Linked DNA regions of Oryza sativa Japonica Group. The protein of the gene in region 6 interacts with the protein of the main gene of each other region in a pairwise test. Links are inferred from orthologs where the notes say so. Each region holds a gene or a part of one and is shown on either strand. Other genes may lie near its edges. The genes, in order: sm-like protein LSM2; cBL-interacting protein kinase 9; B3 domain-containing protein Os03g0120900; alpha-glucan water dikinase, chloroplastic; uncharacterized protein At1g76070; putative protein Brevis radix-like 3; probable protein phosphatase 2C 37.

Evidence for each region.
Region 1: the proteins of putative protein Brevis radix-like 3 (region 6) and sm-like protein LSM2 interact in binary tests that used the Arabidopsis thaliana proteins (3 or more experiments, as listed by UniProt). The link is inferred for Oryza sativa Japonica Group from reciprocal best matches to the Arabidopsis thaliana genes BRX and LSM2.
Region 2: the proteins of putative protein Brevis radix-like 3 (region 6) and cBL-interacting protein kinase 9 interact in binary tests that used the Arabidopsis thaliana proteins (3 or more experiments, as listed by UniProt). The link is inferred for Oryza sativa Japonica Group from reciprocal best matches to the Arabidopsis thaliana genes BRX and CIPK9.
Region 3: the proteins of putative protein Brevis radix-like 3 (region 6) and B3 domain-containing protein Os03g0120900 interact in binary tests that used the Arabidopsis thaliana proteins (3 or more experiments, as listed by UniProt). The link is inferred for Oryza sativa Japonica Group from reciprocal best matches to the Arabidopsis thaliana genes BRX and NGA1.
Region 4: the proteins of putative protein Brevis radix-like 3 (region 6) and alpha-glucan water dikinase, chloroplastic interact in binary tests that used the Arabidopsis thaliana proteins (3 or more experiments, as listed by UniProt). The link is inferred for Oryza sativa Japonica Group from reciprocal best matches to the Arabidopsis thaliana genes BRX and SEX1.
Region 5: the proteins of putative protein Brevis radix-like 3 (region 6) and uncharacterized protein At1g76070 interact in binary tests that used the Arabidopsis thaliana proteins (3 or more experiments, as listed by UniProt). The link is inferred for Oryza sativa Japonica Group from reciprocal best matches to the Arabidopsis thaliana genes BRX and AT1G76070.
Region 7: the proteins of putative protein Brevis radix-like 3 (region 6) and probable protein phosphatase 2C 37 interact in binary tests that used the Arabidopsis thaliana proteins (3 or more experiments, as listed by UniProt). The link is inferred for Oryza sativa Japonica Group from reciprocal best matches to the Arabidopsis thaliana genes BRX and AHG1.

Annotation. Positions count from the first base shown.
Region 1 is NC_089042.1:3,159,069-3,163,009, reverse strand, and holds the start of sm-like protein LSM2, read right to left. Parts: upstream 2,801-3,941; 5' UTR 2,653-2,800; intron 2,407-2,652; 5' UTR 2,368-2,406; coding exon 2,365-2,367; intron 2,236-2,364; coding exon 2,077-2,235; intron 1,449-2,076; exon of another isoform or gene 1,307-1,448; intron 1-1,306. UniProt on the Arabidopsis thaliana protein: Component of LSM protein complexes, which are involved in RNA processing. Component of the cytoplasmic LSM1-LSM7 complex which is involved in mRNA degradation by promoting decapping and leading to accurate 5'-3' mRNA decay.
Region 2 is NC_089037.1:1,524,333-1,528,608, reverse strand, and holds the start of cBL-interacting protein kinase 9, read left to right. Parts: upstream 1-1,476; 5' UTR 1,477-1,826; coding exon 1,827-2,039; intron 2,040-2,767; coding exon 2,768-2,830; intron 2,831-2,941; coding exon 2,942-3,013; intron 3,014-3,201; coding exon 3,202-3,309; intron 3,310-3,400; coding exon 3,401-3,481; intron 3,482-3,715; coding exon 3,716-3,769; intron 3,770-3,850; coding exon 3,851-3,976; intron 3,977-4,062; coding exon 4,063-4,152; intron 4,153-4,276. UniProt on the Arabidopsis thaliana protein: CIPK serine-threonine protein kinases interact with CBL proteins. Binding of a CBL protein to the regulatory NAF domain of CIPK protein lead to the activation of the kinase in a calcium-dependent manner. Involved in K(+) homeostasis under low-K(+) stress.
Region 3 is NC_089037.1:1,158,955-1,163,076, reverse strand, and holds B3 domain-containing protein Os03g0120900, read right to left. Parts: upstream 2,765-4,122; 5' UTR 1,995-2,764; coding exon 1,059-1,994; 3' UTR 1,054-1,058; exon of another isoform or gene 967-1,053; 3' UTR 501-966; downstream 1-500. UniProt on the Arabidopsis thaliana protein: Regulates lateral organ growth. Functionally redundant with NGA2, NGA3 and NGA4.
Region 4 is NC_089040.1:18,341,712-18,345,211, forward strand, and holds part of alpha-glucan water dikinase, chloroplastic, read left to right. Parts: intron 1-358; coding exon 359-450; intron 451-532; coding exon 533-667; intron 668-904; coding exon 905-1,067; intron 1,068-1,155; coding exon 1,156-1,245; intron 1,246-1,330; coding exon 1,331-1,516; intron 1,517-2,462; coding exon 2,463-2,525; intron 2,526-2,601; coding exon 2,602-2,664; intron 2,665-2,745; coding exon 2,746-2,805; intron 2,806-3,020; coding exon 3,021-3,173; intron 3,174-3,292; coding exon 3,293-3,376; intron 3,377-3,500. UniProt on the Arabidopsis thaliana protein: Mediates the incorporation of phosphate into starch-like alpha-glucan, mostly at the C-6 position of glucose units. Acts as an overall regulator of starch mobilization.
Region 5 is NC_089043.1:25,826,729-25,829,603, reverse strand, and holds uncharacterized protein At1g76070, read right to left. Parts: upstream 1,518-2,875; 5' UTR 1,462-1,517; coding exon 697-1,461; 3' UTR 501-696; downstream 1-500.
Region 6 is NC_089038.1:30,809,023-30,813,229, forward strand, and holds the start of putative protein Brevis radix-like 3, read right to left. Parts: upstream 2,801-4,207; 5' UTR 2,394-2,800; intron 2,117-2,393; 5' UTR 1,969-2,116; intron 353-1,968; 5' UTR 244-352; coding exon 139-243; intron 1-138. UniProt on the Arabidopsis thaliana protein: Acts as a regulator of cell proliferation and elongation in the root and shoot. Regulates roots architecture and primary root protophloem differentiation.
Region 7 is NC_089038.1:4,739,910-4,744,027, forward strand, and holds the start of probable protein phosphatase 2C 37, read right to left. Parts: upstream 2,801-4,118; 5' UTR 2,775-2,800; coding exon 2,301-2,774; intron 1,942-2,300; coding exon 1,576-1,941; intron 195-1,575; coding exon 89-194; intron 1-88. UniProt on the Arabidopsis thaliana protein: Negative regulator of abscisic acid (ABA) responses during seed germination.

The DNA.
Region 1 (3,941 bases), on a different chromosome or scaffold from region 6:
GTAACAACTAACAAGCAATCTTTAGTAACCTATGCAGTACAAAAGTACACCCTTCATACAATATCATTGGATGGAACTGAAGGCCAAATAAATATCTAGGTACGGATACTGGTTGTCCCTGTCAAGTAATGTGCTTGCCTGGTTACAACAGTATTTGCACTGGAATTACCAGTGCATCTTAAGCTCCTAATTCTGCACCAGTAAGGCATGTCACGAACTAGGTATACCACTATATGATCTACTCCCCATTAATTCCTAAATTCATGTCAATGTAGCCCAAAGTTTGTTCTACAAACATTTAGACATACCGCCTTTTATCATTAGCTGGTGACTACTTCAGGACATTTACTACAGAACCATTGATTGGAGTCAACACACCACTGTGTTATGGATTGGCTAAGGTAAGGGTCTGAAGACCAGGGGATAGGGCACTCGCCCTCTAATAGCAGCGGCAGGACTTCTCCCTGCTGAGCTGAAAGACTCATTGATTAGAACTCTAAGGCTTAGCGCTAACTTCAGATATTAATTGATTATAGGGTATATGGGGTCCCTTTATATATAGGAGGATAGACTTGACATCCAAGGAACTAATCTCTAGTACTACAGAAACCAATCCAATATCTATCTATAACTTTCTAATAAACATCATCTCTTTCCTAACTAGATACTCTCCTATCTTTATTTGACTATTCCTAAATTATCATGCCTAAACTGCTGCATGGGCCTGGCCCATGCCCAAAACAACAGAGAGTAACAAGTGATCTAATGAAGAGTAATATCTACTATGGTTTATAAAGATGGTTATTATTATCTTCCTTATGCATACTCTTGGTTGTGGGATACTGGGATCCTATAACTGACATTTTGGGCCTCACTGTATGCCCAAAGAAGAATCAGCTGCTGCCATAATTTGAATTTTAGAACTTTTTTTTTGGAGTTGATTTTAGGGTATTTTCAACTTAGTTTCTTTTTCAACATTGGCTTTTAAGTTGCTAAGAAGACATATAAAAGTTTACCCACAAATCAATTTTTGGATATAGTCAGCTCTTGGCCAACTGACGGAGCTCCTAGTTACTAACGGAGAGTGTTACCTGATCCATATCCATATCGTACTTCTTTTACTTATGCAACTACATGTCAGACGTGCAACCATTCTGAATTGTGATACAGCATTCAGCACTAACTAAACATGTAAGGATCATGCTAAAGGTACTCCTTTAACAGATTAATAAATCAACAGATGACAAGTACATGCTATGCAAACAGAAGAGAAGAAATCTGAAATCATGTAGAATGAGGTGATTTTGAATGTATCCATTAATCTGACACAGACCAATCACAAGAAGCATCATGATCTGCAACACTGAATGGCATGGAAGATGTAGCACAGGCATTGGGGCTCCTTCAGAGGATAGTATTCTGACAAGCCCGGGGTTAGCACCGTGCATGAACCAATATCTATGTATAAATCCTTTTGAAAGAAGGCAGTGCGACCCCACCTCCATGAACTACATTTTAATGAATAGCCCCTTGAAGTTCTTCAATACTACTAAGTCAAAATATAGCTACTTTTGGTTATGACTCTGGACAAGTACTTGTCCACATTCACAGCCAAAAGTAGTTACATTTCAAGACGGAGGTAGTACATAATAGTAATTACAAAAAATGTTATAGTCCTATTTGACCATTTTGACCTTATCAAATTGACTGAGTTGCCACATGTACATGTGTGTTGTTCAAGCTAATTTGGAATAGAAAAATGTGTAAACACGGTAAAAAGAAGTGAATAATTAATCAACTGAAAAACCATAGCAAATGCACAAACGCACATGCATATTGAAGTACAAAACCATGAAAACTTCCTAAATCTATCTTGAACAGAGAACAAAGCATACAGAGTCAATATATCTACAGAAGACCACCGTAAAGAACCAAGAAACACTGTGTTTGCTGCAGAGTCAATATATCTACAGAAGTACCCATGCAAACAAGCGGCTAATTGCTATCCATATTTCACCAGGACAGAGACAGACAGATAGATAGATAACCAGAGCAGCATCGCATCGCATCGCATACCATGTGCGGGTACTTGTCCTGGTCGACAACCCGAGTGTTCTCGAGCTTGATGTTGAGGTATTGGTCGACGGAGTGGAGCGTGCCGCGGATGGCCAGGTCGTTCTTGAGCTCCACCGTCACCTCCTTCCCCACGAGCTCCTTGAAGTAGGAGAAGAACAGCTGCACAGCAACCAAATCAACAGAACAAAAAATAAAAATCAACACAAACTAACAGAACAAAAAAAATGAAGTGGGAAGAGAAGAAATCAACGAGCAGTTGAACAAAAAAAACTAAAAAAAATATTCTACCATACTGGCCGCAGAACCCTCCCCGCCTTAGCTCCGAAGAATCTGCAGACGCAAGAGGCAGGATTAGCACCCAGTGGACGGGATCCCCAAACATTTTTGAGGGGCAAATAAAAACAAAACTTCTAGTCCTATTATTAAGGTTTAAGGCTATCAAATTAAGAGAAAATCAGCTTCTCCCAGATCTAGAAGAGAAGATACAGTTAACGCAGGCAAGCAAATTGGACACAAAAGCGGGTGGGTTGGAGAGAGAGAGGGAGATGAATGAGAAAAGAGGATGCGGATGCTCACCAAGAAGCAGCAGGACGACGGCGGCGAGCGCCTCTCCCCCTCCCCTGGTAGCGAGATGGAGATCGGCGCAGGCGCAAGGAGCGGAGAGGATAGACCGGACCGCCGGAGATGGAAGCGCGGCAGCCGGATCGGGAGGAGGCAAAACCCTAGAAGAGCGCGAGAAGGCGGAGGAGGAGGAGTTGGGTTGGGTTGGGTTGGGTGTTGGGTATGAGATAGGACCAAACCATATTATTATGGGCCGGGTTAGGGTGAAAGGCCCATATAGCTTTATTTATTAGGAAAAAAGTATACTCTGACTCCCTCAACTATCACCCGAGTATGATTCATGTCCTCCAACTTCCAACTATTAAAACCGGTGCAAACAAATAAACAATATCCCTCGGTGGTTTTGGAAGTGGTTTTGGCTGACGTGGCGGTCTTGACCGAGTCTTTATCCAACATGGCGCTTACGTGGCATTAGAACAAAAACAAAATTAAAAAATGTGGCGCTTACGTGGCATTAGAATAAAAACAAAAAAAATATGTGGGACCCATATGTCATTCACACAAAAAAGTGGGACTCACTGACATGAGAGACCACATGTCATCCTCCCTCTCCTTCCCTTCTTCCTCCTATCTCTCTCTCTCGGGACTCAGGAGCGGCGGTGGTGGCAGTGGCCGATGGGGACGAGGCGGAGGGGAGCGTTGGTGGCGGTGGTGGCAGGCAGCGCCAGCGATGACGGTGAGGACGAGGTGGTGGGGAGCGGCGACGGTGGCGGTGGAGAACGCGGCTATGGCCCGCGGCCACTAGGAGGGAGGAAGGGGTATGAGAGGGGAGCCGCCCCCGTGGGGGGTCGGAGTCAGCGTCACCGGCGGCTGGCTAGCGCGGCGGCAGCGGCACGAGCTCCTCCCTGAAGCACGAAGCACGCCCTCCTCCTCCTCCTCATCCTCCTCCTCTGCTCTCCTCCGCCACAATCGTCCCCGTAAACCACCTCTTCCGCCTTCTCCTCCTCCTCCCGACCGCTACCGTCGCCGCTCCCCTCCGCCTCGTCCCCACCGCCACCGCCGTCGCTCCCCACCGCCGTCACCGCCGCCACCGCTCCCCTCCGCCTCGTCCCCATTGGCCACTGCCACCATGAGAGAGAGATAAGGGAGGGAGAGAGGAGAGAGAGGGGGGGAGGATGACATGTGGGTCCCACATGTCAGTGGGTCTCACTTTTTGTGTGAATGGCATATGGGTCCCACATGTTTTTTTTGTTTTTATTCTAATGCCACGTAAGCGCCACGTTGGACAAAGACTCGTTCAAGAC
Region 2 (4,276 bases), on a different chromosome or scaffold from region 6:
GCGCGCATGTATCGTATGGTCTGGAGACGACGATCCTTTTCTTCTCATGGGCTGGGCTTCTTTCACTCGTCGACAGAGAGCATCATGGGCCAGCCCACCGTTGTTTTTGTAAGGCGAGAGCGAGAGAGAGAGAGAGAGAGAGAGAGAGAGAGAGAGAGTCCGGTTTCAGGGCCTGTTTGTCAACTGGGCCTGAAAGAATTGGGCCAGGTTTCTCGCCAGATTATGGGCTCCCAAACAGAGGGTTTTGGGTTTATGACATTTCTTCTGCTGCTAACCTGCCACGTTGGGAGCTGAATATCTACGAACTACGTCAAAATGTATAAAATCGCGGTTTTAATTTTTCTTTTCAGAAATCTCTTAGCATAGCCTTCTTAAAATAGAAAACTAAGCATTTTCTATCTAGCACGATTCTACTTTCTTCTAACTCGCGGTTAGGAGTGTTTCTGCGACAACCATCAAGTATAACTCGACAAAAATCACCGGCCATGGAGCTCATCGAAGTACGTATCCTCCTGGAATCGAAATCCCACAAGCTGACAACGCAAACAAAGTCGCACGTGGAACTCTCACTCCAGAACAACAGTGCTGTCCCCGTCACAATAATCTCGCCGTCTACTTCCAAAGTCACGAAAGCTGCTGCAGTATCAACCACTAACACAAGAGTTGCAATCACAATTCTCTCCAAATGTAATGTGACGGTTACGATTTCAAATCAGCAATCACACACAGGTCGATCGGTCACGCCCCCTGTCGTGGTAATGCCTTGATGGCGGCGAGGAAAAAGATTTGAGAGAATGTGGTGTGCAGTGCAGGCAGCGACGACGAACGGGACATGGCACGAGGCGCTAGTGGTGGTGTGGTGCCCCCGCGTGACGCCGCAGGATAAGGCTCTCGGCCCCATCGCGGCATCAATCATGCATTCACGCTGCTACTGGCCTACTGCTATTGCTATTGCTATTGCTAGCCGCTTGCTGATTCGTGGCGCACCGCTTCCGACCGCGACCACATCAGGCAAGGTTAATTGCGTGCATGATTGCTGGAAAAACAACACAGCAAACGGCATACAGTAGCAAGATCACACACGTTCGTTTTTGTCGTCGTCGCGGTCGCGGTGAATTGTTCAGAGGAGAGCCAGAGTTTGTTCAGGGGAGGACGTGTGGAGCACGGATGGATCAGCGCGTCGTTTTCAACGGAGGAATGATTGAGAGTACGGCACCGTACGGGTGCTCCTTCGAGGAAGGTGCAAAGCACGCATGTTCAGGGTTACTACTAGCTCGTTGCCTGTCGCTGTGGCCACGGTGGTGGACGACGGCGAGATTTTCCCTACTCCAGCGTAAAGAAAACCGAAAGGAGCGATCTCCAAGTGGCAACACGTAAAATCTCGCCCCACATTTGGATTTATCCATCCGAGGAGGAGCCACGGTTAAATGCCGCGTTCGCGCGTGCTCGTTACGTACGCGTGTTGCTTTCGAGTTTGATTAATCGTTTTTTTTGCCGGGGTGGTGGTGGGATTGGGATAGAGTTCGGGCCACTGCCTGTGAAAACTGTGAATCGCGTCGCGTTGCACACGGCCAAAACGATAGCGCGCGCACGCACGCACGCATCCGTGCCGCACGCCGCGCGCCGCCTACGTCTCGTCCCACGCGGTTCCCGACCGGACCCCACACCACACCTGCCACCAACGCATCTCCGCCTTATTTGAGGCGCGCGCACGGGGCGCCCAAGCCATCCAGCCTGCGTGCGACCTACCAACGCGCGCACTCCTCGATCCCATCATCGGAAGGCGGCGAGGCGCGCGGTGGAGGATTGATCTGCGGGAGGGATTGATGGCGGAGGCGGAGGCGGAGGCGGCGGGGGCGGGGGCGGGGGCGGGGCCGGCGAGGAGGACGACGAGGGTGGGGCGCTACGAGCTCGGCAAGACGATCGGGGAGGGGAGCTTCGCCAAGGTCAAGGTCGCCCGCGACACGCGCACCGGCGACACCCTCGCCATCAAGGTGCTCGACCGCAACCATGTGCTTCGCCACAAGATGGTCGAGCAGGTCCGCCGCCTTAATCATCCTCAAAATTGAATATTTATCTCTTTTTTTAGACATCAGGTAATAACAAGTTGGATCTTTTCTCGGAGGGGATCGAATTAAGAATCCTAAATTATTCTAGATAGATGCTAGATTATTATAAAAGATGGATTTTCATGGGGATTAATAAACATTAAACGAGAATATGCGCTTACTACGTCTCTACCATTGTCAAGATTCTGTCTGTTTGGATTGTTTGTGATTGAAGAAAGGTCATGTGTCCGCCTGTCCAGCGGGCTAAATCTGCTCTGATCTAAAGGAAATTAGATGGAATTGTATCAAGTTTGAATCGGAAATGTAACAACAGATTATCAAGCTGGGCCATGTAACTATAACAATATCTCCGATGCGGTGATGCCAACCCTGTCTTAATCAAATGCTTTCTGCCTAGCAAAAAGCTGTGCTAGCTTTGGTGTTCGTAGGAGTGGCAAGAGTTGTTCTAGATTCATTTTTTTTTCTCGGGGAGTTATAAATTCAGTCTGACTGGGGGGAAACTCGGGTATTGTACATTCCGTGCTAGATCACTCATTGGTTGATGCATTGTTTGGTGGAAAAACTAGTATTTTTTTTGGTTAAATATGTGATTTTCCATATGATGTGTTGGCACAATTAAATGTCCCTGCTCGAGCTGTTCTGTTTTCCAGCTTGAGCTTTCGATTGTGAATGATAACCTCATATTCCACTTCTATCAGATCAAACGGGAGATTTCCACAATGAAGCTAATAAAACATCCAAATGTGGTCCAGTTGCATGAGGTACTTTGCTATCTTTGCAGGAACAATAGCGTCATTACCACTCATACCCTTCTTTTTTTTTTTATCTCATCTCATTCAATGAGAATTTTACATTCAATGTGTGTTTGACAGGTCATGGCTAGCAAATCAAAGATATACATGGTTCTTGAATATGTTGATGGAGGCGAGCTTTTTGATAAGATTGTAAGGCCCATGAACTTTCTGTGCCAGATATCACGATTCTTATTTTTGTTTATGTACAAATTGCTTTTACATGCTGTAAGAGTAGCTTGTTGAACCGGCACATTTGACTGTTTTGATACTGACTGACTAATCCGCAGTTCTTGGACCATACAAGTTGACCCATTTATCATCATGTTATTATCAACTAGGTCAATTCTGGGAGACTAGGAGAAGATGAAGCAAGAAGATACTTCCATCAACTTATAAATGCAGTAGATTATTGCCACAGCAGAGGAGTGTACCATAGAGATCTGAAGGTTTGTTGAATTATCCTGCTTACCTCCTTTCTGGGTAATCTCCACTGGGATGGATGTATTCTCATTCATATTTTTTATGTGCCATTTGCAGCCAGAGAATCTGCTTCTTGATTCACATGGAGCTCTTAAAGTTTCAGATTTTGGCCTTAGTGCGTTTGCTCCACAAACAAAAGTATGATATCTAGCTAGTACCCAGAAGTATGTTTTTGTAGTTGTTAAAAAATTAACCAGTTTCTTTATCCTAATGTGATGTGTTTGGGTTTTCTAGCATTTTTCTGGTTTAATTGACTTGTTCCTTAACTTGCACTATTACCTCAAATGAACTTCGGACGCATAATTATTTGTTTTGGTGACAAGAAAGTTGAAAGAAGTAACTTTGGTAAACTATTTTGATTGTTTTATTTAGGAGGATGGACTTCTGCATACTGCTTGCGGAACACCAAATTATGTTGCACCTGAGGTGATTCATGTTGCCTTTGATTAAACTCGTGTATTTTCTCCAAAAAGATGTAAGAATCATATATTCATACTGTTCCCTCAGGTGCTTGCTGATAAAGGTTATGATGGTATGGCTGCTGATGTATGGTCCTGCGGCATAATCTTATTTGTCCTCATGGCTGGATATTTACCTTTCGATGACCCCAACCTAATGACCCTTTACAAACTGGTAAGTATGTGTAACATGCACGCATTCTAATGTTTCTTGTGAATTTCATTGGTAAACTTGATAGACTTTTGATGTTCTCTTCACAGATCTGCAAGGCAAAAGTTTCTTGTCCACATTGGTTTTCTTCAGGTGCGAAGAAGTTCATTAAGCGCATACTTGATCCTAATCCCTGCACAGTAAGTGACAATTAAGGACATATATCTTCAGCTAACCAGTTTGACCAGCTGACTGCTGCTAGTCCAATGAGTTTCATTGTATATCCTCTTTGAAGCCTTTTATGATGGCAATTTGAGAGAAGTC
Region 3 (4,122 bases), on a different chromosome or scaffold from region 6:
TAGCACAAGAGACAAATGCGCAAACCAAATCAAGAACGGAGCAGTGATGTGCAGAGGGAGAGAGAAAGATGTATAGCTAGGGATGCATATATACATATGGAGTGAGAGAGGAGTGAGAGACTGTAATATGCATGTGTAGGAGAAGGATTTAGGATCTGACCTGCAGCCCTCCAATAACTGCCTGTCCTAGCTTGATAGCTGGCCTGCAGGCTGGCTCGCTCCCCACATTTTAAAGGCCTCTTCTCCTCTCTTCTCCTCTCTTCTCTTCTCTTCTCTTCTCTTCATCACAGCTTAGCTAGCTATAGCTGCTGTTGCTGATGCCTTGGAAGGAGAGCCCAATTGACCTGCACAAACAACGGCAGCACCAAGAACAATCCATGTGCCCAGTATACATGATGCGTAGAGTACGGGCTCTCCAATGTAACAATCTCCATTAGCTATAGCTAGCTCATCACCAGTATGTATATATAACAAGTGTACATATATAAACTCGTACCATCAGTGCAAATTGATTGTTATCATATGTGAGGATCACACACCGGTGTTTCCATAGGCTCAGTCATGATATATACAATTGGGCTGGAGTTCTTGGAAACAATTATATTTTCTTCTCCTTCTTCTTCCCCTAATCACTAGTACCAGTAGTATATATTTTCTCCCAGACACAAAGAAGAGATCGAGCAGCTAAGAAAACTTAATTATAATTAAGCACAAGAGAAAAAGGCAAAGCAAATCGAAGCAAGAAAAAACCATCAACCTAGAAAGAATATTTTTTTTGGGTACGTTGCTGCTTCGTTCTTTTTTCTTAAACTGTTCCCCCTCACACTGCACTGACTAATTTAAGAGAGATGATGAGCTATATACGAAATACGAAGGCGCTAGATGCTCCAAGCGCCTCCACCTCCGCCGCCACCGCCGCCGCTGCGCGCCGCCATCGCCGCCTTTGTTTACTTCTCCGGTCACACTCTTCGTCGACGATTTCCATTTGTGTCAGTACGTAGTAGCAGAATTGAAGCATAAAGTAGCAGAGATCGTGTACGTGTACGGCCGTACCCTCTTCACAAGTCAAGGTTCAAGGAGCACCTCGCTTTCCCGGAGGAAGATGACGATGATGACGGCGGCGATGGCAGCGGCGGCGGCGCCGTCTTCCCGACCACGCCGGCGTGGTCTTGTTCGGAATTCGCGCAGTCGAGGTTCACCCCGAACAGCCGAACTCGCTTCGACGGAGCCGACGGCGGCTCCGCGTGCCCCGCCGTCATGCGCACCGGCACCGACTCCAGCACCACCGCGGGATGATGCTGCTGCTGCGGCGGCAACGGCCGGTAGAACAGCACCTGCCTGCTGGTGGCCGCGGCGTACGCGTCGTACCCGACGGCGTGGGCGTGTCGGCGGTGGTGGTCGTAGATGGGAGTCGAGGAGGGAGGCAGGAGAAACCTGGCGCCGGCGGCGGCGGCGGCGGCGGCGGCGGCTCCGTGTCCGTGGTGGTGCGCCCAGGGAGCGAAGGGGATGGAGGAAGGGAGGTGGTGGGCGAAGCGGTGCGTGGGCGGCTGGAGCGCGGCGACGACGTCGGGGCGGCGGCGCCAGTCGATGAAGAGCCTCCCGCGCGCGGCCTCGCCGACGCCGCGGCCGAAGGAGACGGTGTCCCCGGCGTCGAGTCGCTTCTCCTTGACGAAGCGGCTCCACCCCTTGGTCATCACGTAGCTCTGGCTGCTGTTCCAGTAGGAGTAGCGGAACCGCCATGGCTTCCCCGTGCGGTCCTCGAAGCTGAGCAGGAGCCCCTTCTCGTTGGACGCCGCGTCCAGCGGGAAGTACTTCTCCGCGTGCTGCTTCGGGATCACCAGCCGGTTCAGCTTCCCCACGTCGCTCGGCGTCACCACCTTGTCGAACATGTGCTCCTTCTCCACCGCCGCCAAGCTCCTCCCACCACTCTCCTGCACCTCGCCGCCGCCCGCCGCCGCCGATGCCGGCCTCACGATTGGCGTGATGAACTCCATGTACGTGCACTATGCCGATCGATCGATCGATGATGCCTCAGCTCCTCCTCTGGGCTCCGGCCGCCGGCTTGTCCTCCTGCCGGTGGACTTGACCTCGGCTTTGACCCGATGTATGCTTATGGTATGCTGCTTGTGCTGCCTTGTTACTATTGATAGTATATGGCTACTAGTTAATTTGAGGGCTTATTATATGGATTAGGAGGCAACTATCTCTTGTTTAATTGGGTCTTTTGGGATTGGAAATTTAGAATTGTGAGGGATCTGGAGCTATAGCTAATAAGAATTAGCTAGCTCCTTGTGGCTACTATATGCTTAGCTATAGGAACTTAGGAAGTGGGAATTCAGGGTTTGTGTGTGTGTGTGTGTGCTATAGCTTAGCTCAATTGTAGTGCTTGCTTGTGTTGGGAAAATTCAGGCTCAAGAGATTCAGATGAAGGTGTTTGAACAAGAGAGGGGCTAGAGCTAGATGGGGAGGAAGAAGAAAGAGGCAATGAGTGTGAGATGTGATGAGTGGTGGTGGTGGTGGTACTATGAAGGTTCTTGGTGGGAGGAGGAAAAGGATGAGGATGGATACTTACTTTTGGCTTGCAACCAAAGGTAATTGGCCTAGCTACTTACCTAGTAGCTATATACTAGTGTGGAGCAGATGTGTGTTGTTGTAGGTATAGTACACATGTATATGTATATATGTATTTATGTATCTTTGTGTATGTATGCATGTGTATCAGAGAGGGAGGGTGAGGTGTAGCCTAGGAGGGCAAGGGTGGGCACAATACACTAGCTTGCTTTTTAAAGGGTGAAGAGATGAGAGAGAGGGATAGGAGGAGTGGGGGAGGAGAGGGAAAGAGATGGTAGGGATTGTGAGAGGAGTGTGGGGCCCACGAATTATCTGGTTGAGCTCATGTGAGCTTGTCCTTCTCATGCTATAGGGAGCCTTTATGTGAGTTAGGCAGGTGATGAACCCCCCAAAATGCCAGTTGTAGGCTGCAAATTTTCAACATGCACATCTCTTCTTATTGGTAGGTAACTTATAACTGTATTTTATGCAGATATTATATGTGTGCGAATGTACCAAGTATTTGTGCCGTCGGTTTACTTGTGTATTCCATGTTGAATAGTAGAGGGAGAGAGATACACACGTTGTATTGAGTCTAAGATGGCCGGTGGCGGTATATATATAGGAGTTACACAGTAAGGTATAAGGAATGAGTCCACGCAAATCAATCATATCGTAATATATCTCCAACTTCCATATATATGGCCTCATCTTTTCGCTTATGCTTATGCTTATCAGCCAAAATTTGAATTTTCAACCTTAAATTTAGAGTTGATTTTGGGGTTTTTTCATCGAAGTTTATTTTTCAGCCTTTGGTTTTAGATCCTTAAGAACACATATATAAAAGTTTTATTCAAAAATTATTATTTGTTTGCAGATACAATGGGGCTGATACTCTAACATTCCAATCTACAGGTTCAGTTGGAAGTATATATTAAAAATCTTTATATGTCAACTAAAACTTTTGCAATATTGCTCTTCTAGAGTTTGGATTGTTCATTCTAGGTTAGATTACTTTTGATAGTAGTATGTACATATGACATAAGCACTTAAGCAGTATAGGAACTTGGAAGTTATGTTATGCATGTGTTCTTTTCAGAGTTATGCCGACCATACACTTTAATTCAGTTAGCAAGTTTTTTTTTTTCGTTTTAAATGTCACCACGTGCATTTTCAGGTTAAGAATAAATTAATTAATGCATATACTTCTTGTTTAGTTTTAGTGGAATTCCGATAGAACAAATTAAAAGGTCCCATTCTGGCAACTGTATGGGCTGCTTATATTATTATGTTAAATCTTAGTTGCCTGGTTCTTATCACTCATGCTCAGTCTGAACCACTCTACCTTAATTTGTTGCAATCTGCACACATTTCTGACTCTGAAAACTGCACGTCGTCGTTCTTCCATTTCTCCATATATAAATTCAAGGTGATTGTACTGCAAATCTGCAGCATCTCCTACTCCTAGCTGTACATGATTGCAGGGTAGTACGTACTACTAAAACGTACCTACCTAAAATTGCAGATATTGTTGCCAAACTAATTAAAATATCAATATGTATACATCCAGAT
Region 4 (3,500 bases), on a different chromosome or scaffold from region 6:
AATAAGAAATTTATATAGATACAATGAGAGACCGGGATTTATTCCAGGCTGGGAACTAATTTACTCATGATATGGACAATAAGAGACCGGGAATCAATCCACTAGTCAAGAGGTGTAGAACTAATCTGAATGTTTTGTTGTCCCTATCATGAGTAAATTGGTTCCCGATCTGGAATAAATCCCGGTCTCTTATTACATCTATCATAAATTTGTTACTATACTTCTCATTCCCGGCCCGGATTGAATCCAGATGTAACCAAACAAGGCCTTAAAAATTTTCAATGTCAAATAAGAATATCTAAATAATTGTGGTAAAAATCACTTACTAATAAACTGTTGAATATATTCGTAATTAAAGGATACTGGTGATGCTGGTAAAGGCACTGCTAAGGCCTTGCTTGAAAGAATAGCAGATCTAGAGGAAGATGCCCAACGATCTCTTATGCACAGGTCAGGTGACACAATATCTATTACTTGTATGACTTGTTCTGTGTGTTAAAAAAATCCCTGAACTACCTTTATTCCTCTACAGATTCAATATTGCAGCAGATCTAGTTGACCAAGCAAGAGATAATGGATTATTGGGTATTATTGGAATTTTTGTTTGGATTAGGTTCATGGCTACAAGGCAACTAATATGGAACAAGAACTACAATGTGAAGCCACGGTAGATACTTGTTTCATATTCTTCAGTGAATTTTCTCTCTGTGCAAAAAGAAATCAAATTAACTACATAAGTACTTTTTTCTTGTGATGGGAATAAAAACCTTCTAGTCCTAATAAAGCATAACAGGAAAAAAAATAGAATGCTGTTTAGCAGACTGAACCTATTCTATTTGCATATCACACAAACATGACTTTGTTGCATCTTCTTTAACATCCATAATGATCTACAACTATGCAGTGAGATAAGCAAAGCACAAGATAGGTTTACAGATGATCTTGAGAATATGTACAGAACTTACCCACAATATCAGGAGATCTTAAGAATGATAATGTCTGCTGTTGGTCGGGGAGGTGAAGGTGATGTTGGTCAACGCATTCGTGATGAGATATTAGTAATCCAGGTAAATTAATGTTCCTAGGTGAATATCAACTTGTTTGTTGATCAACTTGAACTATACAACAATAAATACTAGTTGGTTGGTATTGTAGAGAAATAATGACTGCAAAGGTGGAATGATGGAGGAGTGGCACCAGAAACTGCACAACAATACAAGCCCAGATGATGTAGTGATCTGCCAGGTAATTGACATGCAGATATTTAATGCCATACAGATTTCAGCATTGGGGTTTTGATATTTATGGACTTGTGTCTCTTCATGGGTAGGCCCTACTTGATTATATCAAGAGTGATTTTGATATTGGTGTTTACTGGGACACCTTGAAAAAAGATGGTATAACAAAAGAGCGTCTATTGAGCTATGATCGACCGATTCATTCAGAGCCAAATTTCAGGAGTGAACAGAAAGATGGCTTACTCCGTGACTTGGGCAATTATATGAGAAGCCTCAAGGTATGTCAAACATCTGGCGTAGATAATTGAGATATCTATGCAGTATCTTTACGATTTTACGTAAATTTTTGCTTTTGCAAAGGCCTTATTTTGCTTTGTAGTTAAGAAATATTACAAGATCTACCCTAAACAATATACTGCTAATCACATATGCTGAAAGGTGGCATTCTCTGGTAACAGTACATGTTATTATGTCCCATATGTGCTGAATAAGGGTCGAAAGATTAGGATAAAGGCTAGATTGCTCTCGTTGGTACTGAGCTTGTCCTGATATTAAGAGACTCTGGTCAAGCTAAACCTAACTTTATGTTTCTTTTTTGCTTAATTGATAATGTTTCGCTTTGGTCCGTTTTAGATGGAGGGTACCCTGATACAATCACTGCGAATGGTAACATGCTCCTTAAGAGTAAAATCTGCATAATTGACATCTCCAGTGAAATCCCATTTCTATTATTATTTTAGGGAATTGCGGCAGGAATAGAAATTTATCTCTTTGCCTTCATGTATGGGAATCTTAAGGAAATGAAACAAAAATATCACACTATAGTTTCTACGTTTCATATAGTTTACCAATCATTCTCTTGAATCGTCTCCATTATCCAGCACCCCTATTACTAGCATTGTTAATAAAAGGCAAGTGTTAACATCAAACTACTCCATCCAACCAAATTTACCAGGCGTACACATTCCAAGATTCAAACTTTGTAAGTTTGACCAATAATTAGGCTAATTATATATACATTTAGTGATATAAAAAGGTACCACTAGATTTGTATTTCATTCTAAGATTGCAAGATTCATTTGTATGTTTTGACCAACAATTAAATGGTGCCGCTAGATCTGTATTGCAAGTATATTGTCTTGGTCTTCTAATTAGAAAATTTGTCATTTTCATAATTATACTTTGATTCAATAGTATTGTACATTTCTACTTCTGTTTTCTTAGGCAGTGCATTCTGGTGCTGATCTTGAATCTGCTATAGCAACTTGCATGGGATACAAATCAGAGGTACCATTCTCATGTCTGTTATACTGTGAAAGTTTCATTTGGTTATATATGATGTAATTGTTTCTTTGGGATACAGGGTGAAGGTTTCATGGTTGGTGTTCAGATTAATCCAGTGAAGGGTTTGCCATCTGGATTTCCTGTAAAACATCCTTGCCTTCTTTTTTTTAAAAAAAACACATTTATCATAATTAAAAGCTCATAATATTCATTACTTCAACAGAAATTGCTTGAATTTGTACTTGACCATGTTGAGGATAAATCAGCAGAACCACTTCTTGAGGTGAGCAATACTAAACCCAGGCATGTTTGCAATATTTGGTGCCATGTCCACGGGTTTACCTCCGTTCCATTATCTAAAAAAATAAAGAAAAACAAAATTACAAGACAATACTTAGATTTCTTATAAATGACTGATAGCTGACCTGCCTAATCCATCTGGTCTTTGCAACTTCCATATGCATCCTTTGTTGCCAATGTTGAAATGCTACCTTGCAGGGGTTATTGGAGGCTCGAGCTGAACTACACCCTTTGCTCCTTGGCTCTCCTGAACGCATGAAGGATCTTATCTTTTTAGACATTGCTCTTGATTCTACTTTCAGGACAGCAGTTGAAAGATCATATGAGGAGCTCAATAATGTAGAACCAGAGGTTGGTTAACACAGGATGTTGCTATAGGTTACATTATGGCATGTGTTTGTCTCACATTGTATCTTGTCTTTTTGACGATTCAAATGTATTAAGTCATGTTCCTGTTTTATCTAATCCAGAAAATTATGTACTTCATCAGTCTTGTCCTTGAAAATCTTGCTTTATCCACCGACGACAATGAAGATATCCTATATTGCTTAAAGGTACAACTGTTCTGTTTTTTTCCATGTTATGTACACAATTGTTTAGAGAAATTTACCTTAGTTGTTCCATTTTCCTAATAAAAGATACGAATAGTGGCAGAGCACAACATAACTATTTATGTAT
Region 5 (2,875 bases), on a different chromosome or scaffold from region 6:
AATTCGATCCGAATTTTTTCAGACCACTTGATGAGCAATTCACTCTTGTACGGAGCTTTTTAAAATTAAGTCCTGCACCACTTAATTAACCATTGAAAAATCATCATTCGGACATTTATTAATGGTTGGCTTGGCTCTTGTCAGCACTGGCTGGCTTGTGCTGACCGAACTTATTTTTCACAAGTCGTAACTGCACGCTCGATGGAGGCCGGATTTTCAGAGAAAATGTGCGGAGAAATTAAGCAGAACATTAATTAGAAAAGTTGAACTCGTGACAATTCCAGGCACTAATAAGTCAAAATCCTGTAGCTTCCGTTTTCGGACTCAATCCAACAATTATGAATTCTGAGTTGTCAAGCATATTCCAAGACTCATCTTACACGAAATCCATTCATATACTTATCAAAACAACAAGTTGTTTTCATCTAACAACCTTTTTTTAATTATTTTGTTCTCTTTCGTTGTATCTTCTTTTCTAAACAAAAGCATCACATCTAAAATTTAAGGAGAAGAAAAAACAACTATCGATGTACTTTTGATCAGTTTCGTGTGAAGTATATGACTGTACAAATTACTCCAAGAACAAAAAAAAATCAAAAAATTACATTGGAATGGGAATACGCTCGCATTTGGGCCTAGAAATGGACGAACAGATCGATGAACACGCATGCAAAAGCTCATGCACGCTGACGTCATCTATGGAAGTCGAAGCGGAGTGGGAGGAGCCATGGGTCGCCGGCTCCAGAGGTTCACCTCCTTCCTCGGCTCCGACGCCACCAGGCCGCCGCCGAGCACGAGCGGCGCCGAGTGCGCGACGAGCACGTCGTCGTCGTCGTCACTCGCCATCCTCTCCGCCTCCCTCCAGTCGAAGTCCTCGAACGCCGCGCGGCCGCTGGTGAACCGCTTCATCTGCCCGAGCCCCGCCGGTGCCGGCGCCGCAGCCACGGCGGCGCCGGCGCGCCCGGCCGTCCTCCCCTTGAAGAAGCCGCCGTCCCTCGACGACGACGATGACGCCTTCCGCGACCTGCTGCGGCGGAAGAGCATCCTCCTGACGAGCGAGCTCTTCTGCCTACGCGCGGCGGCGGCGTCGGCCGGCGGCCGGGGCGGGAGCGGGCACGCGCCGTTCTTGCAGCTCGCCTTGACCTTCTTGGCGTTGGCCTTCTTGATCTGGCCGATGCAGGAGACCTTGGGCGACGACGGCTCGGGCGTCCGGTACCCGGAGCGGTGCTCCCGGCGGCTGCCGCCGCCGCCGCCGCGCGCCTCCGGCGGGACGATGGAGACGATGGGCCCCGAGAAGGCGTTGCGGTGGTTGAACGACGACCTGCCGTGCGGCGGCGGCGGCGCGGAGGCCGTGGTGGTGGTCGCCGTGAAGGATGCCGCCGTGCTCTTGAGGAAGGAGACGATGGCGCCGCCGCTGAAGCTCCTGGACCTCGCGTGCCTGTGCTTCTTCTCCATTGGCATGATGTGTGCGTGCGTACGGATTGTGTCTTTGGTTCTCTTGTCGTGTGCAGATCGATGTAGCTTTAGGCGGCTTTAGTTTGGGTTATATACCACAGGCAGAGGGGCATGAGATGATTATGTTTAGGGTTGGTGAATGAATGCGATTATACGAGTAGATTGTGATGGGATGGCTAGCTGCCGCGACTAATAATAACAACTCGCGTGCGTTGTCGTGTGTTCGCGTGTGCGTGCGTGGTCAAAGCGAGGAGCGGGTATTGAATTCACGGCGAAACACAGCTATCAATCAACCAACCAGCGCGCGCGCGGGCGCGAGGCAGGCGGTGACAGCGAGCAGTGGTGTGGTGGGGGGTTGGGCGTGCGTTGGGTTTTTCCTGGGCGGGACGCGGTCTCTGCACCGGTCGATCCGACGCGGCGTACGTTCGGTTGAACGGGCCGTTTGCTTGCGTTTGGAAATGAAACGCGAGACCTGGTTGCTGCATGCGCGACGAGACTTTGGACTGGTTAGCCGCAGCGGCCGCGCACCGCGGCTGTGGATTGGATGCGACCTGCGGCCACGGTTGGTGCGCGCGCAAGAGAGTTTCCTCGTCGCGTCAAACGTACGCGCGGGCGCAGGTGCGGGTGCAGGGCCGCGGAGTTTCCGGCGGTGGCCGTGACCACGGCCGATCGACGACTTGGTTGGCGTACGTGCTGCAATGCAAGTGATCCGTATGCGACGGCCTGACGGACGGTGTCGGTGGCGTCGTCGACGCGTGGGGATCGATTGTGTTCTCTCGTTTGCGGAGGGCAATACGATTTTTTAATTCACCGGGAAAACGATGAAAACGTTTTTCATTTTTCTTGGGTTTGACTGACTGAGACACAGTCACACGTATTAAAATACCCCGCGGGCCCCATTGTGCTGGATTAGTCCAGCGAACATATATATGTTTCGTATAAAAAAGAACCAGTGGTCGTTCTATGTAAATCCTATAGTACACCCGTCCAGTTTGAATACTACTCGCTAGCGTACGTCCACCCACAAGTATATGTATGGAACTCTGAATTTTCTGTATGGCATACGTAATAAAAATTGACTCTACCTGTTGAAAAAATGCAATGTGTGATTTGACTTCATGATTCATCAATCCTAGAATTAGTAAACTTTACCAGTTCCTTCTTTTTAAAAGAAAAAAAATCAATATGATTAGTAGTAACTGAGAGAATCAGCTTGAAAGTAATGCTGCGTATGAATGTTCGCTGGGTTGTTTTCTCCTGCAGAACGACATCTTAGTTACTACGTACTTCCTCTATCTTAAAAAAAGACAACATACGTACTCTCTTCTAAGTTGTCTTTTTTTTTTGGAACGAAGAGAGTATTTCAATAGGCAATAAAGCAAGTATTTTTTTTAAAAAAAAAACTTTACCGATGAGAGCA
Region 6 (4,207 bases):
GAGCTAGTAGCATGTAGTAGTACACTCTATATACTGCAGTACTGATGGCAAAGTAGCAGGTGTAAATTCGATCCAGGAGTAGCATGTACGAGAAGAAGTTTAGATCAAGACGAAGAAGAAGAAGGGACAGACGGGTACCTGTGAGGTGAGGGACTTGACGGCATCTCTGCCGTGAGGCGTGGCCGCGCCACGGGACCCGTCCTCCCCGCCTTCCTTGGAGGAGCACGCGATGCATGCCAGCATCTTCTCTGACCCCCTCTCCCTATCTGCCTCCCTCTCCTCGATCGACGACGACGAGACGGATCAATCAGTAGTCAATCGCTCCCCCCACAATCTCACCTTGTGTATCGAACTGCAAAAGTGTGTGCATTAGCGTTACATATATAGTACTACCACAGTACGGCTATCTATCAGAATTGAAGCCGCTGTAACGAAAGATCAAGTTTGATCAGACATGCCGTCATGTAGACACTACAGCCCACGGCTACAGTTGCATGCATGCATGTGATAGAATGTCTATCCATGAGATGGTCAAACTTTGTCGTTGTTCGCATGGCAATAGTACACTTAGTACATGTATAGTACACATTTCCATGATAATTAAACGAGTGCGAGATTTCGTGTATCCACGCACACGTATGTACGACCAAAATAAATACACGCCGAAAGTACGTACTCCTATCAAGTATCAACAGTGACACTATCAGTCTAGTATCCTCTAGCCATAGCCACAATCTACAATGTACTGTAATAACGTAAAGCGGTTTCCAAGCCGGTGTGTGACGCCATTCTAGTACCACACACCATTTGGACCAGACGTGCCATGCCATCCTTGCATCTCACATGTAAGCACGCGAACACGACATCCGGTACACTATGCGAGCACAGAGCTATCCGGCCGGTCCGTGACCACGCACACGTGCGCATGCGTGTGCGTCGGAGGAGCTGTCCTTCCGGCTCGTTGAGCAACAGAGAGCAATGCAAGCATGCGTATGTACGAGAGATAGCTATAGCTAGGGACTCTGGTCTCTGGAGCTTCAATTCGCCACCGGCGTCAAAACGGGGCAAGCTGGCTGGCTAGCTGGTGCAGTGGAGCACTGGAGCCTGCAGCGACAAAAAAGTATAGCACCAGCATAACAAAGCAAGCAAGACCCATGCCAATGGCAGCATCACAGTCGTTCACAGCTACTCCTGCATGCATGGCATGCATTCGCAGGCTGCTCTAACACAGTGGAAGAAACGCTACGCGGGGCAAAGCAGATCGATCGACGGGCACAGGCACAGAGATTCTTTAATCGCCATGCCACATGACACACACACATATACTACTAGTAAATCAAAACTGAAAAGCAGGTTGTAGTAGTAAAATACGGTCAGCTACATTGCGGCAGGGAAGCTTCTGATGTTTACGCGCACATGGAAATTTATTAACCACCAGTGTGCTATGGCTAGCTAGCTCCGCCCGTTTGTGTATGTGTTGTGCACAGTGTTCATGCAGATGAGGCGCAGCTACCCACGCGAGGTAGGCAGGGGCGTATGGGGAAGACTCCAAACGACACCAACAGCAGTAGCTCGGTGGACGAGGCAGGGAGCCGCTCAGATGTGTATCAGCTACAGTCACTGCAGCTGGGGCCCCACGCCCTCCCCCAGATCAACGTACTGCCTGGACTTTATTTTTTTTTTCCTCCTGCTCCATCCCTACCGAGAAAAATATGGGCCCCGGCTAAAGCGACCGGCTATCGAGTGACTGCATTGTGGAGCCCGGTAGGGTTTTTGCTGATTATCTTTTGCGCTTTTTTAATAGAAACACGACGTGATAACCTTAAACACGGTATTGTGTGTGTTTTCTTTTGGCCGGTGGTAGTAATTTCTTTTGTACAGTAGTAGTATCAGCTAGTAATTAATTAATGTTGCTGTAGAGGGAGAGAGAAATGAGAGGCACAGTGAGAGTGATGAGATGATGCTTACAGGTAACTGACGGCCCCCAGATAGCTACGTTAGCCACAGCTCTCTCTCTCCTCCGAGTTTGCTCGCCGTGTAAACAGTGTGCGTACCCAAACCACCTACGCGCGCGCTGACCGGGTTGCTCCGCCTCCTCTTCCTCTCTCTCCGGCGCCTGAAATGATGCAGACAAAAATGTGCCAAAATAAATATGTATACGCCTAGAAGCGAGAGCGGGATGCAAGGAGAAACGGCCTTTTATTTTTGACACCAAGATAAACGGACTTTGACTTTCTGGTGAACAGAACAGGGTAAGAAACGGCATGCAAGACGAGAAAACAAAACATAGAAAAAGTGTAACTCAACACACACACACACAAAAAAAAAGCAAAGCAAAGATAAGACGAAGCATCAAGCAAGCTGGTTGCGTGCGTCGCCGTCACCACCATTACCTTCTCCTCCACGTCGCCGGTGAGCGAACGAGCGCAATTTGCAGCCCGCCGGTCGGCTTCACCTTCGCCGCCCTTTCGGTTTCGAGCTCTGCCTCTGAATCGACTCAGAAGCCTTTGGAGATAGCACAGAGAGAAAGGCCTCCCTTGTCTGGTCGAGGAGTGGATGCGGCTGCGTCAATGGCGCCAAACACAGCGGCGGCAAAGATATCAGAAGCTACGCAGCGACGCTGTCGCCGCACAGAAACAATCTGGGACTGAGTGGGAGATTCCTCTCGCAGTCGCAGGAGAGAAGAGCCACGAAGCGAGAGAGAGAGATCGAGGTGGGGAGGGAGAGAACACTGCGGGCGTCGCGCTGGGCCGTCGGATCCTTCCCCCATATACGACGAGAGGGCGCCGAGTGCACAGGCAGTGCAAGCCGTCTCGTTTCCGGCCCATATATAGTCCCTCCCCCACGGGACACGCGGCGGTCCCCGCGAGATCGCGGCCGTCCGATCCTGCGCGGCGTGTGGTCATCTCCCTGGTCCTGGGCTGGGCCCCACCTACGGTGATTCGCTGCGGGGCCCGCGAAGGCCCGGGCCCCGGCACGGACCGTGGCGATGACGAACGTGCTGCCGTGGCGCGATCAGGACCGTGCGATGTGATGCATATGCTGACGGGGCTTTGTCATGATCGAGGACCGTCCGATCTTGATGGCGCAAAGTACGTCAGCGTGTGCTTGCAAGCCCAATAGGCGAGTAGCCCATAGCGACTGACGGAGCGTGGGGCTCCTCACCGGGAGACCGCGCTGGTCCCCTTTTGCCGGTTCGGCCGGGGACCCTGGGTGAGACTCTAAGCTCCCAATTTGTGGAAGGTTCGCGAGACAGGAAACACACAAGACGCCGGCGATGTATACAGGTTCGGGCCGCTGAGAAGCGTAATACCCTACTCCTGTGTTTTGGAGGATCTGTGTATGAAGGAGCTACAAAGTATGAGCCAGCCTCTCTCTTGTTCTGGGTTCCCAATCTGGAAAAGTCCAATCATCCCCCCTCTAAGTGGGCAAGGTCCTCCTTTTATATCTTAAGGGGATACCACATGCACCATCTCCCCCTCTCTTTCTTCCAATTTGACTTCTCTTCATTAACAGACGGAGATTTGCATCGCCGCCGTCCGAATGACCTTCTGATGGGACGGCCCATACCTACCTCCACTTCCGCCGGAGGCAGGCGCGACGTGGGAAGATGGCTGTCTGCTGATGACTTGACCATTGTCAGACCGGTCACAAATCGGTCATTCTTGTCCACCACGTGTCAGTTTAACAATCTGCATGTTCGCCCTTCTTCATACAATATCTTGCCTGTAATGGTTAGGATGAAGCCTGGCATATATCTGACCGGAACCAACGTGCCATCTCCAGGAGCTAACACGCCGGCTCCAGCTAGGGACGAGTGCTTGGAGGCTCTCGTCCTGACGGGATGGGGCGAGGCGTGCGTCAGACCGCCTGTCGCCACCTAACCCATGATCTGACCGGTCTGTGACTGGTCACAGACCGGATAAACGAGCGTGCTGTACTGCGATACAGGCGGCGTGACGCGCTCGTCAAAACTGCAATAAATGTGGTTAGGTGAGCCCCGCCATGCTCACCTACCCCATATACGTGGCGCAAAACCCACAAGGGGTCGGGGCGCTTCGGCCCTCGGGGCCGAGACGGGAGCGGCCCGACCCCTTGGGGAGACAAAGAGAAGGGCAGCCGTATCACCCTCGGGCCCGCCCCCCCCCCCCCCCCGAGGGAGTTAGGCCACGTGGGTGATCGTGTCTGCCTCAAGTCTCTAAGTCAT
Region 7 (4,118 bases), about 26 Mb from region 6:
GTTCTTCTACAGCAGAGTAGCAAACACAACACACAAAGATAGTGCCTGCAGACAGAATTTAGATCAATGATGATGACGATGACATTACCTAATGCTCGCGACATGGCGAGGATGCCACGCACCCTCGGCCCGTTGAGGTACACCACCCGGCCACCCACCGCCTCGATCCGCGCCTTCTCGTCCGGCCGGTCCGGCTGCATAATTCACCGTCAATTATAGTACCATGTAATCTAGGTTCGTCAGCAGCAAGATCACACTTATGATTAGCAAGATACAAGAGCAAGATTAGGTTAATCACACTACCACATCCAGCACGAATATTGTCGCACCAACCACTGCCCCCATCTCCTACCCCCCTCATGGACCTACCACAGCCAACCACACCCAGCCAATTTTCCCCTTCTTTTTTCCCCCTTTCCACAGAAAAGGAAGCTCTGACCAGTGTGGGTCCACAATCCATCTCAGGAAGAGCAAAAATAAAAAAGAAAAAAAGAAAAAAAAAGAGGCAAAGGGACAGCAACTTCACAGTACACAGGAGCAGGGACAGGTGGCAGAGGTGGCGGCCAACCCCCTCTCACTGCTCACGTGGGCCCCACCAGACAGCAGCAAAGCAGCTGGCCCCACACTCTGACCAGTCTTATCCCCCCACGTGCCCCGCGCGAGAGCAACACGTGTCCCCCTCCAGGAAAGCGATGGATTAAGGCCCTGTATAGATGGGACTAAAACTTTCAAGTCCCTATCACATCGGATGTTTGAAAATTAATTATAAATATTAAACGTAGACTATTAATAAAACTCATCCATAATCTTGGACTAATTTGCGAGACGAATCTAATGAGCCTAATTAATCCATGATTAGCCTATGTGATGCTACAGTAAACATTCTCTAATTATAGATTAATTAGTCTTAAAAAATTTGTCTCGTGAATTAGCTTTTATTTATGTAATTAGTTTTGTAAGTAGTCTATATTTAATACTCTAAATTAGTGTCTAAAGACAGGAACTAAAGTTAAGTCCCTGGATCTAAACACCACCTAAAACACTTCGGAATCCCCCCCCCCTCCCCCGCCCAACACCACGTGGGCCGCGCCCCTCCGCAGCCACCCCCGAGGTTCCCACAAATTCTCCAAATTGCCACTGCCCTTTCTACTCGCATTAATGAGAGGGCCAAAACAAAAACAGACCATAATAAGAGAAGAAAAAAAGATACTAGTAATTATTTTTTTTATTATTATTTTTTAATACGAGGTGATAATCTTTTTTGTGATGACGCTAGCGGGGTCCACGTCGGCGAGCACGGCAAGGCGAGGCGATCCATGTCTCTCCGACAAGCGAGAGCGACCTCTCTCTTTTTCTCCGGTCGCCGGCGGCCAACCACGCGTCGCCGGCGAGGCAGCCGCGGCCGCGAAGGTTCCGGAGAGGCGACACCTCGGCTGGGGCCCACCCCCCGCAGGAGTCAACGGTAAACGGCAGCGCGAGACTTGGAATATTTTGGCAGGTACGGTCAAAGCCGTGGTGTGAGGGACACGTGTGCGTGTGAGGAGGGTGCCACGTAGGAATGGAAGGGCTGATTACCTTGTGGTCGGAGGAGAGGGGGAGGGGGTCGCCGGCGCGGCAGAGGACGGCGCGGGAGTCGCCGCAGTTGGAGACGACGAGGCGGTCGCGGACGAGGAGGGCGACGACGGCGGTGGAGCCGATGATGGCGCCCGTCTGCCCCGACAGCGGGCACCGGCACGCCGGCACGGTGGCGCGCCCGCACGCGCACGCCACCGCCGCCAGCGCGTCCACCCGGCCGAAGCTCCGCGACAGCGCCGCCCGCCACGCCCTCTCCTCCTCCTCCTCCTCCATCGCCGCCGGTTGCCGCTGCCGCAGCGCCGCCGCCTCCGCCACCATCTCCTCCGCCACGATCACGTGCATTTGCTCCCGGCACAGCGCGGACACCTGCTTTTTTTTTTTTGTCCATCGATCACACCAAAAAAAAGAGAAAACCAAACAAACACACGTCACTGATCGAGCAGTGGTAGTAAAAACCAAAAACGAAAATTAAACGACAAATTTTATAAAAAAAAAACGTGTCGACCTCGGTTTCGATGGTGCTAGAACATTGCCAGGTGGATCAAACAGTGCAATGCGGTACAACACAACAGCAGCATTTTCGCAATCAATCAATCCAATCTCTATCTCTTTTTCTCTCTCTCTCTCTCTGTTTTTTTTTTCTTTCTAACCCAAGATTATGATGAGTAGGATTAGCATGAAATAATGATGGGATTAAGCAAAGGATTAGCGGGGGGGCGACGTACATGGGGGCCGCCATGGCCGTCGAAGACGGCGAAGAAGTGCATCGGCGAGCCGTCGAGCCAGGTGCAGAAGGAGGGCCGGAGCGAGACGGCGTCCTCCATGTCGCGCATCCGCCCCGCGAGCGAGACGGACCCGAACGCGACGGGCCACACCGCGGCCGCCGTCGACGCCCCGGACGGGAGCGGGAGCCGCCGCGCCGCGGCGCCGGCGGTGGAGGAGCACCCGTCGTCGTCGCGGTCGGACGAGCAGTCGGAGGAAGCCGCCGACGAGGTCGGGGACGGGGACGGCGACGCGGAGGAGGCCGGGAGGCTCCTCTTCTCGCCCCCACCGTTGCTGCTGTTGTCCCCGTCCTCGGACGCGGCGGCGGCGGCGGGGACGTAGCGGCGCCTGCGCAGGCGGTGGCATTCCTGGGCGGCCGCGGGGGGGTGGTCCCCATCGCCACCCGGCATGTTGACGCCGGCGCTAGCCATCACCATCACCGATCATGGGAAGGGAGGAGGAGGAGAGGGAAGAGGAGGAGGGAGGTAGAAGAAGAGGGGTTGGGGTTGGGGGGAGGTGGTTTCCGTGGGGGGTGGGGGGTGGGGCCCGCATGGACGCGACGTGGCGAGGGGGTGACACGTGTCCGGGGACTGCGGGGGGCGCGTGGTGCGCGCGCCGTCGGGCGGTTTGGCTGCGCGCCTCTCTTCCCTGGTTTTCGCCCTCCCCGAGCCCGGTTTGGCCGGCCCCTGCTGCTGCTACATCACCACCCAACTACCAAACAAACCAAAAGAGCCCCATCCTTTGACATATTAGAGAAAAGACGAAATGATATATTTACAAATATAAAATAATTTGTAAATTAAAATTTTATATATGTATTTTTAATGTTCTAAATAAAGATTGGAAAATAAACTATGATAAAAGGTCCTAAAATCAACTTCAAATCTAAAGCTAAAAATTTAAATCCTGACTGATAAACATAACCGAGAAGGTGAGGCTGAAAGCTTTTGACTCTGGCTGGGATTAGAACTTGCATCATTTGTATTGAATAATGGGAAACAAAGGTCGGTGATACCACCAAAACAAAATGACGGGAGAAAGAAAAAAAATCTTTTTTTTTGCCCCTAATTAGCTTCTAGAATCCTTCTATATGTGGGAGCACGTGATAAATTTGGATGGTGGCCAGGCTATATTTCTTAGTGTAACTCATTTTTCAGGTGCATTTGTAGGATTTCATCTCTTACCTATACTAAAGGTGTTATCCATCTCCAGCACGGTGGTTCCTGAAGGATGGAGGAGGAAGGGGCAGCTACCGGCGAGGAGATCAACCAAAAGAGGGATCAAAACTATTTTAAACACATCTACTAAAGAGTAAAAAAAATCAAAGTAATTTTACCTCTATAACATGGTAGGACGGGTGAGCAATAATCTTCCCTTCTTTCCTCTCTTCTCATTGATAACGAGATCACCGGAGGTGTTGATAGTGAGATAGGCATTACAAGTGCGATGCCAAACAATGAAGAGGAAGGAACCATTCACAAGTTTGTGGAGTATAGTATACGAAGGAGGTGGAAGAAGAGATCACCTTATAAACTTGCCTCTATCATTATGTCGCCTCATCTCACACGTCTTTGCATCGCATATTAATGAGAAGATATGGTTAAATGTTTTTAAACTACCACATGTTATGCATGCACCTAGACGTTGTTCCCAACCTCCACAACGCTGGATCCACCATCCCCGACCTCCTCGGCGATGGATCTACCCCTCCCAAGGGCGCCGCCGGTGGATCCGCTCCTCCCATGGCCTCTAGCCGTAGATCCGGCATCACCGTCCCCAAC